2 linked regions of the Arabidopsis thaliana genome follow. The protein of the gene in region 1 interacts with the protein of each later gene in a pairwise test. Each region holds a gene or a part of one and is shown in the gene's direction. Other genes may lie near its edges. The genes, in order: KAN3 and AT1G27280.

Region 1 (6,855 bases):
AAGAGGATGGTTTTGTGTCCATTAAATGCTCGATGTCGAACCCCTGACACACATTATTAGCATACAGAAACTTGAGTTAGAGTTTCGGTCATATATCCAAGCAACACTAGAGGCGATTATAAATCCAAATTGAACACAAATTACTGAAATAGGGTTAGGGTTAGGTTTGTGGATAAATTCAGAGAGACATCAAACTAAAAACCAAGAAGATGAAAGAATTACCCCAGCCTCCCTCACTCGGACCAAAAACTCGTACTCCTCCATCACTAAATTTCTCAACTTTTGCTTTGCTTGGCGGAAGCAATCGGTTGACGCCTGATGCCTATAAAGGTTTAATAATCTATTACGTTTCCTCCACGCTATATGCCATTAAACTGCAGATTCATATATGGGCCTTAATTGGGCCTCCACAACCCAATGTACAATTGTCGAGTTTGTCCATTTATGAATTTTTATAAACATCGGGCTTTTGAAGAAACAAATTGTTATTAACCATCTTAATTATCTCCTTCTGCATTTGTAGGTTTGTGTTGACTATGGTAGAGGTATTCTTGAAGAAGAAGGTCAATGGTCCTAAACGAATAAATAGGACTATATGAAGAGGATGCGAGGACTCGGGAGTTTTTCTCTGAAACATAATTTTATATATTTATTTACACATCTTCTTCAGCCCCATTCTTTATGACAACGAATTTTAGGCAATTAAAAACTTCTAAGTAGACAAACCTCTATGAGATTTCCAGAGATATCTGATTCCCAAAAGTAATAAAATGTTTAGTGACCCTAAGCTTTTTTAGTTGTTCGATCAAGTAGAAACTTGGCCAATGCGATTCATTTGTGGCTAGATTTTGTGGCCCAATAAACTTTTTGTGAAAAAAAACACATATGTGCATATTAATATAATTTCGTGAATTTTGTTATACTAATCAAACAAGAATTAGTAAATCTTAGTATTTTTATGTTTTGAGTTATATGTTCGTTCACACACAATAGAAAATGATTTATTAAATAATATGTATCCATATATACATACACACACTAACAAAAGGTTGTTCTTAGGCATTAAAAAAATTGTTTTTACATCCCAAATTAAAACAATGATTGATTATGTCTTGTTTGCTTAAAATTTCCAACAGTAAACAGTCTTAACCTCAAATATTTCCACATGCACCAAAACCAAGAACTCTTAATTCATTTCCTTAAATTTTGTCTTTGTACTGATTTTCTATTACTTTACTAACCATAAATATATATATACTAGCTAGCAAACAATGAAAGTGGTAGGTCTTTATTCTTTACATGATTTTTAATAGTTGATGGAATAGTAAGTAACCATTATTACTGTACAAAAAGCTTATATCTTCCCCACAGCATTTAGATGCGTAAATTATTGTCATTTCTTACAATTGACAAAACAAATTCAATAATTCAACTTGCATCGTATAATCCTAATCTTAAAAAATTATCAAACCAATAACACACCAATCTACTAAAAAAATAAGAATTCCTCTACCATAACAATATTATTATTAAAAACAAATTCCTTACAGTCCAGTGATACCAGTCCCACCCAATATGAACTTAGTCAAATAGTTTCATTTTATTACATGACACACGTATAACCAGCTAGCTAAGATTAGGTTTTTCTTTTTTTTCCCTTGTAGATTTTAATTCATTTCTTTTAATACCAGATAAATAATTTTTCGACTTAAAGTTTGCAAGCAACTCTTTTGTCCGAATAGAAATGTGGGTTCTTATCAAATTCCCCAAAGTTAAGATTTGCTTAAAATATCTCCCAAAAAAAGATTCGTGGGGGCAATTATTCTATAAACTCCAAATCTTTCTCCTCTACTCCTTTATTAAGTGTGCTTCTACTTTTTCATTTTTCAATCAATCTTTTTCCTATTGTACTTCTCTTTTTCATCACATTATGAAGGAAATATATATATATATATATATATATATGTAGGAAATTGATTCGTATATACGGATAACCTTACGAAATAAAAATCTAAAATATACAACAAACTGTGTGCCCTGAAAGGTCTTACAATTTTACACTAAGTGAAGTGGACAGCATGCTTTTCACTAGGTTTCACTCTTACGTCCCCGTGTCGGAGTAACTTACTCAAATTGATGGGAACCTTTGTTCTCTATTTGACCACTATAAATTTTCAATAGTTTTTGATATTTCTCCTATTTATTCGTCACTTAAGTCCGACCCCTCAGAACTTATCATGATTAGTTTCTTGTTTGTATGTGACGACGAGAAGAACAAATAAGATTCATTGCTACAAAACTCAAGTACTAGTGATGATAGTTAATCGCGGATTGCTGAAAAACAAATAAGATTCGATTAATACGATTTATTTAATGATTCGGTTAAAAAAGAATAAGATTTTATCTCCTAACCTAGTAATGTTTTTGAGCTTCTAACTTTGTCTTATGCATCGTCGGTTGGTAGTGCCTCCAATCAAGTAAATTAAATTATATTCTTTAATCTTATTTTCTCTATCGATTTTCCATAAAAATTCCTTTCCGTTTGTCTTATATCGTTCCTCGTGCTGCCGGAACTAAAACTGGAAAAAGGTTCGACTTTTACGGAAACCTATTTTTGGATTCAGATTTTCTTAGTTTAATCAAATATGTGAAAAATATAAAAAAAAACAAATGAATCTAAGGATCGTCCCCAACATTATCTGTCGATGTATGGGCTTAGGGGACATGAATTATCAAAGGGCGTTTTGGGAATCAAATCTTGGACTGTCTATCGGTGTCACTAGGGCCAAAATTAAATTAATGTCGTATAGTATTTTGATGGAAATGAAGTTAATGCTTCGTGGAATAAAAAACCTTTAATGTTAACTTGTTTTGAAAATTACTAATAAACATAATCGAAACTATATACAATATATATTTTAAGGTGATATCTCACTGTCAATGTGATATTATTCTTTTCCCATTTCTTATTTTCCTTAAATTTTATCTTATCACGTAAACAAAATCACTTTCTCCACAAACAATATATAGAAGGAAAAAGAAAAGCTTTTTCAGGTATTAATTAGACGCAATATCATATTCAATTTATTCTTAGGCACCCAGCCACCAAGTTCGTAATGTTCGGTATAATTCCAAACTCCGATTTCAAGGAGGACAAAGAATTAAACCAATAAACAAGACAAACAACAAGTGACGACGAGACTTCAGTTTTGGTTTTAATGTATCTTCATCTCTTAAATTTCATGCAGGTGTATTTTTTATATATAGTAGCATTTTATCAACAACTAAACAAGTAGCTATGGTTGTTCCTTTTTTGTTTTCTAAGAAAATATCAGCCTTTGATTCTTATTTTAAATTTTCTACAATGATATTATCAGGAAAAAAAAACATATACACACACGCATCTTTCAGTTTCAACACAAGTGTCATTTTCACATGTAAATCTGAACACAAATAATCGAATAATTCCATACATTATTGTTTTATTATACCATCATTAAATACTGATATGTGATAGATGATATCTACATTGTAACAAAATATGCCATATAAATTGGTATTTTCCTTTACATATGAAGAAAAGGGAAAGGAAAAATTAAATGGAAATTCATGTTTCACCCAACCCCTTTATTAGACTCTTAAAGTGTCATTTTCTCAAAGGGAACAGAGAAGAAAGAGACTTCTCATTTCCCTCATACCTTTTGCCATCCCTATTTTTCTCTCTCTAATTCTTTACAACTGCTTTTCTCTTCTCACCAAGAACAAAAATTCATTAAGTTAAGAAGAAGAAAAAAAAAACTTTTTGAAATAAATAACATTATACCCCTCCTTTTTCCCATAAAATTCATCAAGATTATCTCAAAATCATTCACCAATTCTCTCTTCTTATGGAGCTTTTCCCTTCACAACCTGACTTGTACTTGAAGATCAGCCGAAGAAGAGAAGAAGAACAAGAAAAAGAAAGTCAAGAACTACAAGAACAAGAAGTCGAAAGGAGATTAGGGTTTCAGAGTAAAGCCTCAGATTTAGACAACAAGTCTTCAAATAATCTCATCCACACTCTCCAGTTCACTTCAAACAATGAAGCCACCAAGATTAATAGTAATCAAGAACACAAGGAATCTCTCGATCAAGACTTGAGATCTATTTTTATGATGAGACCAATAAGAGGAATCCCTCTTTACCAGAATCAAGTCCTTGACCACTACTACTACTCATCTACCTCTCCCAATCCTTTCTTCTTCAGTGAAGTCAACGGTCAACATGCTAGTCGTCGCTTAATCACAAACCCTAATTGTAGTTTTAATCTCCACAACCGTCATCGGCGTCAAGCTCAACCGCAGCCGCCAAGATTCACCGCCAAAAGAGGAGTAAGGGCTCCAAGGATGCGGTGGACGACGACCCTCCACGCCCATTTTGTACACGCTGTTCAATTATTGGGTGGTCATGAAAGTATTGTCCTTTTTCACTATTACCCCTTTTTATTTAATTGAATTTATATCTCTTTTTCATTTTTAACAAAAAGAATAATGAATAGGCTTGATCAAAAATTCTATTTTTATTGACTTAGTAATTATGATTAATATCCAGGAGCAACCCCAAAATCAGTACTTGAGCTGATGGATGTGCAAGATCTCACATTGGCTCATGTTAAATCCCATCTACAGGTAATCTTCTTAAGTTACAGGTACATAATGTATAGGTAAATAAATGAATTTATTGTATTATGGATTTGAATATGCAAATGAACCAAACCCACTGCACTTTTTTATGAAATGGCTAAAAGAAAAATTGTGATTAATTTGGACATGGTTAAACTTTTGGTCGCCCCCATATATATATATATATATATATATATATATATATATATATATATATATAAAGAAATTATATACAAAGTGAAGAAAGAAAAAAGATAAAAAGAGAAGGAATCAAAAGCAAGATATAGACAAAGAGTAAGAGAAAGAGTCCTTTTATTACTAGAGATGCAGTAGAAAAGTAAAAGTACAAAGGAGACATCATTCTTCAATGATGATATTTAGATTGATATGCACACATATATGTATATGCATGATTCTTCAATGATAACAAATATATAAGTTGCTGTTTTGCATAATTTGACTATAGTCAGAATAAGGCACGTAGACCCATGCACATCTCCCATCTCTGTGTATGGCTGCACATTTTCATGAATCGTAAATGCTTTCTGTTTTACTTTGATCTCTTTTTTTCTTACTTTATCCATCTCTGTCTCTGTGTGCGTGCATATCTAGGTTATAGCCTTATATACACACACGTGAATGCCTGAATGGAACAAGTCTAAACACACGAACATCACACACACATTATATATAATTCATGTGTATGTATTGATCGATATAACTATTAATTATTCTTATAACTAGCACTTATATATAATATTAGTAATCTAATCTATAATGTTTCAGATGTATCGAACCATCAAGTCTACTGAAAAACCTACAACGTCATCAGGTTATTTGATTGATTATGTATTTGATTTAATTAAATTATCTGTTAAATACTATACATCTGATAAACGTGTGTGTATAGGGCAGTCAGATTGTGAGAATGGATCACAAGTAAACAGTGAGAGAGAAGCAAGAAATCTCACGGGTCTATGGAATAACTCCTCAAGGTATGTTATGTTTTAATATTTGCCTAAGTAGAATTTAGTATTTGTTGGACAGATATGTATATACTTATTAGGCAACTTTCTATATTTGCATCATATGAGAAACTTAATATATATAATATTATGTTAGTTGAGCCAAAATCATTAGCATTATATTATTCTTTTTTGTTCCTTCAAAAAATCAATGTGATATAATTTGAATCTGTATAAACAGTGAAGCTCGGTTCCAGTTGAAGGCAAAGGCATCATCAGGTGTAGACATTTCATCCAATGAGGTAACAGATTTCAAAAATTTAACCAAAAGGGCATTGGAATAAAACGGGACTTGCAAAATTCGAGGCTGAAAAAAAAGAAAAAAAAAGTTTTTATAAAGGATTATAAGTTACTTTTTTTCTCTTCCATTTGGGTAAAAAAGTGTTTTTCTTCTTTTGATTTTGTCTCAAAAGCAGAGAAATTAAAGACTTTGTTTTGGAGAGTTGATATCTATGATACTTTATTTTCAGAACCCAATTCACTAGATTTGATTGTCTTTAAATCTTCAAAATAGTTTAATTGGAAATTTTGAAATAGAAAGCAAACTGAAAATAAAGACACAGTCTATATATGAAATGTTATATGAGATGATTCTTATAATATATAATCTTTTATTCTAAAATGATGTCAGAATGAATGGAAGAATCGAAGATGTCCAAGCAACGAACGGTTGTCGTCAGATTCGTCAAGCCTTACAGGGACAAGACCAGAGACTGAAACTCCCAATCTTGATTTCACTTTAGCTACACCAAACCTCTCTCCCTAATTTTCTTATATATACTAAAAATACATATTATCTGTTAAAAATTATATAAATCTCAAACTTAAAAGTTTATGCTTTTGAAAAAATATATATGAAATGACGTTTATTTCTTCCTTTATTCATTTTTCCTTTTGTACTGTAAAATTGAGATGCTTTTTTTTTTGGGTCATAAATTTGAGATGCTTGTTCTTGTCTTGAATGGGAATAAAATTATTTGGTCATCATTACAGCGATGCAAAGCTATGACTCATCCACGTGTCTAAATCGGACTGCTTTACTTCTTAACACATGGTTCTCTGACACGTGTCTGACACTTGTGACGTTGACCCGACGAAGACTTTCACTAATTTTTTCTTCTAATTATTCATTTTGAGTAAAGCCAAAAAAGAGAATAAAACGAAATACA
Region 2 (6,435 bases), on another chromosome or scaffold:
TTCAGAGACAAAAATATGAGTAGAGCTTCTAATGAGAAGAGAGTGTTTTTAGTTTTCTTTGTAAACATTTGAGTTTAGCTTTGATTAACATGACATTCACAAATATGCTATGCTTCTATGCTCAATGAATTGGTGTATAAGATACTAAAAGATAGTGTATAGTTTCTTTTGTAGAGCTTTCTTTAATATCAAAATGTTTTTTTCACTTAATATTTTCTGGTTATCTTTGGGGTCATCTTTTAATAGAAACTGAGAGGAGAAACACTCAAAATCAGAGTTCAACGTTGAAACAATAACAGAGAGGAACAGAGCAAACCAAACAAGAATTACTTGAGTAAATACAGAGCAAACCAAAGAAATTTTAGTAAATCTAATGACAACAAATATGTTTTCTAAATTATTGTATAAATTACGAATTGATAAAATATTTTATTATCATATTGAAGAAAGCTTTTAAAATTTCAGATTCACAAATTTTACAAATTACAGTTTTACAACAACAAAAAGAAATGAAGTCAATATGATAATCCCCTACTATAAATATAGACTCGTGAATAAAACTCAAATCAGTCTCTGAGGTTTTGGTGAGAGAAAAAAAGAACTCAAAACAGAGTGCGTTTGTTTCTGGGAATCTTGAAGCCTCTCCCACTTGCGAAGACGAAGCTTGCTCGTTAGGTAGTTTTCTTCTTCTTCTTCTTCGTTTCAATTCCTTTTTCGTTCATGTGAAATGTGAAATCATGTGACGTGACGATTAGGTTAACGATCGAATGTCTTGATCTCGTATATGATTCTTTTCTAGTTTCTTGATCGGCACGTCTTGTTGTTTTCTTTCTATCGAGACTGATTCTAGATGTTCTTAAGGATCTTGTTGGATGAAATTTACATGAATCTGTATTCTAGAAGATGAACTTTGCATGAATCACGACGAACTGATTTAGTTGTTGCTGTAGATTAAGTTTCTCGAGATAGATTCGAGATACACGAAGGGTTTCAATGAATAATCTGATCTGTTTCGATGAACAATAATCTTTATCTTTGACTTATGGATTAGGCTAATTTGACACCATGGTTGGAAAAAGCAAATCACCAGAGTTCAATTTCGAAGATGGGATGGCATACTTCGATGCTGTGAAGGTCGCATTGCAGGATACTGAACCTGAAAAATATCAAGAGTTTGTAAGAATCTTTATTGATTATACTGCTAATAGGTATGTTTTGGTTTGCTCTTCAACAGTTTAGAGAACAAAGACACATGTGAGAATTGATTCTGATGTTATTTTTCTCTTTATAGATTCGGTTTCGAAACTTTGAGTGCAAGCTTGCAGGAACTCCTGAGAGATCACGCGAATCTGTGTCATGGTTCAAATGTCTTACTTCCTTTTAGGTTGCAGACAGCCATCCCTCCCGAGGCTAGCGCAGAGTTTCACATCAATAAGGTGGTTGGAAGAAGCGTACCACCGGCGGTGGCGGTGCCTACCATGGATGATGCGACTTCTTACCTCAATGCTGTGAAGGAAGCATTTCATGATGAACCTGCAAAATATATGGAAATTACTAAGCTCTTGACTGATCTTAAAGCTCGTAGGTATGAATTGTTTTCTCCATGTTATGTTTGATTTTCTCAATTTACACAACAAACACACATGTGAATTGATTCTGATATTACTAAGTCTCTTTGTAGAATCAATGCCGCTAGTGTCATTGCAAGGATGGAGGAACTCTTGAAAGATCACTTGAATCTGCTTCTTGGTTTCTGTGTCTTCCTTTCACCTACAAGGAGGTTTATCACGAAGCTTAAGGTAATAGAGTGCTTAAATGCTTATAGTTACTGGATGTTTCTTATATGTTAACTTGTGATTTAAGTAACAAAATTGTGGATGTGCAGGCAAGGTTTCTGGGCGATGGTAGTCAAGTAGTTGACTCAGTTCTCCAGATATTGAGAATGCACAGTGAGGGAAACAAGTCCAAAGATGAGGCGTCTCAGGAGGTATGGTTCTTTGTGGGACACTTTGTGTTGTGTGTTGCACTTTCTTAGTTCTTTGGTTTGATTTGCTTGTTACCTTTTGCAGGTCCGTGCACTTATTCAGGGTCATGAAGATTTACTCATGGAGCTTTCAGAAATTTTCAGTGATCCATAGAGTCTAGAGATAGCTAAGGACAGTACTGGAAGACTATATACCTTAAGAGACGAAAACATTTGAGTTTAGGTTTGATTAACATGACATTCACAAATATGCTATGCTTCTATGTTCAATGAATTGCTGTGTAAGAGACTAAAAGAAAGTGTATTTGTAGAGCTTTCTTTGATATCAAATGTTTTTTTCACTTAATATTTTCTGGTTATCTTTGGGGTCATCTTTTAATAGAAACTGAGAGGAGAAACACTCAAAAACAGAGTTCAACGTAGAAACAAAAACAGAGAGGAACAGAGCCAAAAACTACAGAGCAAACCAAATAAGAATCAAGTAATTCTAATAACAAATATATTTTCTAATTTAAGTAAACCTTATATGAATTACGAAATTGATATACTCCCTAGTATAAATATAGACTCGTGAACAAAAACTCTATGCAGTCTTGAGGTTTTTACTTTGCTTCTAGAAATCTTGAACTCCTTACTCTGCGAAGACGAAGACGAAGCTTCTTCTTGTTCATCATTGCTGCTTTGCTCTGCTTATATCGGTAGCCATACTTGGTTCCTCTTTCGATTTATCATTTGTTTCGTTCAGTTGATATGTCAATTCACCAGACGATTAGGGTTACGATCGAGTTTTCTGGTTCTCTGCTTTCAAATCGTTCCTCAATCTAGGGTTCTTGAGGAAGTAGATCGATATTTATTGCACTTGGCTCTGTTTCTTGAAAAACTTTAAAGAAATAGCTTTGAGATAGTAGATGGATTCAAATGATGTGATCTGACCTGTTTGGATTATAACAATGGTTTTAGGTCACACCATGGATGGAAGAAGCGTACCATTAGAGTTAACTAAGGATGATGAATACTCATAACTCGGTTCTATGGAGGAAGTATATCATGATGAACCTGAAAAATTTAATCATATTCTCCACCTCATACGTGATTATTTTAATCATAGGTATGTCTTGATTTCCCCCGGTTATGTCTGGTTTGTTCTTAAACAAATACAGATGTGAAATTGATTCTCATGTTTCTTATTCTCTTGTGTAGAGACGATAGAGCTAGAATCACTGCATGTATGGGGGAACTCATGAGAGATCACTTGAACCTGCTTGTTCGTTTCTTTGACTTCTTTCCAGCTGAGGCTAGCGAAGGGTTAGCCCAACTTCAAACCATTGCTGCAACAAGCGTATCACCGGATTCTACTATTGATGATGCGGTTTCATACATCAACACTGTCAAGGAAGCATTTCATGATGAACCTGCAAAGTATTACGAGTTTTTCCAGCTCTTTTATGATATCAGGTATAGGTATGTATTGTTGTGTCCCTCTTCAATTCTGTTTGCCCTTAATTTCAAGTCTCAATCTATACAACATTGTGAAGTGATTCTGTTTGTTATATACTATTCTCTTTGTAGATTAATTGATGTTGCTGGTGGCATTACAAGGGTGGAGGAACTCTTGAAAGCTCACAAGAATCTGCTTGTCCGTTTGAATGCCTTCCTTCCACCTGAGGCTCAGAGAATCCTCCATCTCAAGATTGAGCAACGGGCTGCATCTGATATTAACAAAAGAAAACGTGTAGCGAGTTTTATCGGCAAGCTTAAGGTATAGAGTGCTAAAATACTAAAACTAATCCTTACCATTTACCATTTTGATGTTCCATCTATGCTAACAGATCCGTCGATGTACAGGAAAGGTTCCAGGGGGATGATCGTCATGTATATGAGTCGTTTCTCGAGATATTGACAATGTACCAAGAAGGAAACAAGTCCGTGAATGACTTGTACCAGGAGGTAGGGTTCTTGGTTGGGACACTTTGGTTGGATTACACTTTCTCTTAGTTCTTTGGTTTGATTTGCTTTGTTGTCTTTGCGGGTCGTTGCACTTCTTGAGGGTCATGAAGATTTAGTCATGGGGTTTGCAGACGTTTTCAAGAGACCCACTGATCCATCAGGGTCAAAATCTGCTAGAGATAGCTAAGTACATTAGAAGACTGTCTCTGCTTTAGTATAGGATGCTTTGAATATAATGCATGTTTGGGGTATAAGAGACAAAAAGAGTAGTTCTTTCTAATGAGAAGTGAGTGTATAGTTTTCATATGAGATTAGTTTGATTCTTACTCCATAGAGAACATGATGTCATGATATGCAAATATGCTTTTATATTTGAGGTGTAGATTGATTGGATATAAGCGACTAAAAGAGAGTGTATAGTTTCTTCTGACATGTACATGTATGATATTTTCCTCGTTACCAAGAAGACATGAGATTTTGGGGTCATCTTAGTTCAACGTAGAAACAAAAACATAGAGAAACAGAGCCTTAGCACAAACCTATAAATGACCAAAAAGTACAAAGCAAACCAAACAAAAATATAGTAGTACCAATTACCAAATATGTTTATCAATATAGTAAATCGGGTAATTCAAGTGAATTGCTGGTCTCACACATGGCACGAGGCTTCTTGCTTGCAAGTGAAGCTACAGTCAAATTCTGCTAGCGTACTTGATCAAAAGATATATGTAGCAGGATGCTGTAAGGATGGCGATTCGAATTCCTATTAAAACTTGATGGAGGTGTTCGACACAAAAACACAGACTTGCGATCCTAAGCCAATCCCTTGCAGCGAGACATTTGGCGGCTTTGACTACAAAACTCTATGTCTTGACGGAAAGTTCCACGTAGGACCAGTACCTGTTGATAAAACAAGGATTAGATTGGCTGATTATGGTGGAAAGAGGGCAGTTTTGTGGCCTAATAATATTCACTCGCTTAGGAAGATGATTTGGTGTGCAGAGGTTACGCTTGAAAAGCGCAAAAGTGGTGAAATATGGGGGAAAGTTGAGTGGTTTGTGTAGAGTATATAAGTAAAGGATAGTTTAATAAATCATTAATCCCTAATTCATTCTAATGTAGTCACTATATATATTGTAATTATATCATCTAATGAATTATTCAGCCTTCAATACTATATGGTATCAGAGCTTTAAACGATCCCTAAACCTAAATCTAGCCGCTACTCTGTTTTTCATCATTTTTCATTATTTTTCTTTCTCTTCAATGGCTTCTGAGACTGTCATTACATCTGATTCAACCAGTCTTCTCAACGTCAATATGACTAATGTTACCAAACTCACGTCCTCTAACTTTCTCATGTGGAGGCGTCAAGTTCAAGCTCTACTCAACGGCTACGATCTCACCGGCTACATTGACGGCTCCATTGTCGTCCCACCTGCAACCATCACTGCAAATGGTGCAGTTACGGTCAATCCTGCCTTCAAGCACTGGCAAAGGCAAGATCAACTCATTTACAGTGCTCTACTAGGCGCTATTTCAATCTCGGTTCAACCGATCCTCTCCCGAACAACAACATCTGCTGAAATTTGGACTAAGCTGATGGACACATATGCTAAACCCAGCTGGTCTCACATCCAACAATTACGACAACAGATCAAGCAATGGAAGAAGGACACCAAATCCATCGATGAATTCTTCCAAGGCTTGGTGATGCGATTTGATCAACTAGCTCTCCTTGGCAAGCCGATGGAGAGTGAGGAACAGATGGAAGTCATTGTGGAAGGGCTCTCCGATGACTACAAACAGGTCATTGACCAAATTCAAGGTCGTGAGGTACCTCCCTCTCTCACTGAAATTCACGAGAAGTTACTTAATCATGAAGTGAAACTTCAAGCTGCGGCATCGTCTCTTCCGATCTCTGCAAATGCTGCAAGTTATCGTCCTCCAGCCAACAACAAGCATAACAACTCCAACAACTATCGCGGACAAAACCGTAACAACAACAATCGTGGTGCTAATTCATACCAACAGCCAAGAAACGATCAGCCCTCTTCTCGTGGTTATCAAGGAAAATGCCAAATCTGTGGAGTTTTTGGCCATAGCGCTAGACGTTGTTCACAGCTTCAGATGTCTGGCGCTTACTCCACCCCATCTCCAAGTCAATACCCTAATGCTACTGTTCCATGGCAGCCCCGTGCAAATATGGCAGCCATGTCGTACAATCCTTGGCTTCTTGATAGCGGAGCAACACACCATCTTACCACAGATTTGAACAACCTTGCTCTTCATCAACCTTACAATGGTGGAGAAGAAGTCACAATTGCTGATGGCTCTACTCTTCCGATCACTCACACTGGTTCATCAACTCTCTCTACTCAATCTCGTTCCCTTGCTTTAAACAATATTCTATATGTTCCCAACCTGCACAAAAATCTGATTTCAGTTTACAAATTGTGCAATGCTAATAAGGTTTCTGTGGAATTCTTTCCTGCCCACTTTCA

Evidence for each region.
Region 2: the proteins of KAN3 (region 1) and AT1G27280 interact in a two-hybrid assay, tested with the Arabidopsis thaliana proteins (one large-scale study listed by BioGRID).

What each region holds. Positions count from the first base shown.
Region 1 is NC_003075.7:9,847,731-9,854,585, reverse strand, and holds KAN3 (Homeodomain-like superfamily protein), read left to right. Parts: upstream 1-3,658; 5' UTR 3,659-3,887; coding exon 3,888-4,452; intron 4,453-4,590; coding exon 4,591-4,667; intron 4,668-5,447; coding exon 5,448-5,493; intron 5,494-5,571; coding exon 5,572-5,656; intron 5,657-5,867; coding exon 5,868-5,928; intron 5,929-6,317; coding exon 6,318-6,452; 3' UTR 6,453-6,653; downstream 6,654-6,855. Other genes in the region: AT4G17700 (uncharacterized protein), read right to left, coding at 1-43, 223-264. UniProt on the Arabidopsis thaliana protein: Probable transcription factor that regulates lateral organ polarity. Plays a role in lateral root formation and development.
Region 2 is NC_003070.9:9,471,012-9,477,446, forward strand, and holds AT1G27280 (Paired amphipathic helix (PAH2) superfamily protein), read left to right. Parts: upstream 1-3,015; coding exon 3,016-3,092; intron 3,093-3,184; coding exon 3,185-3,445; intron 3,446-3,553; coding exon 3,554-3,743; intron 3,744-3,829; coding exon 3,830-3,979; downstream 3,980-6,435. Other genes in the region: AT1G27270 (Paired amphipathic helix (PAH2) superfamily protein), read left to right, coding at 1,066-1,208, 1,292-1,585, 1,682-1,799, 1,886-1,987, 2,070-2,138.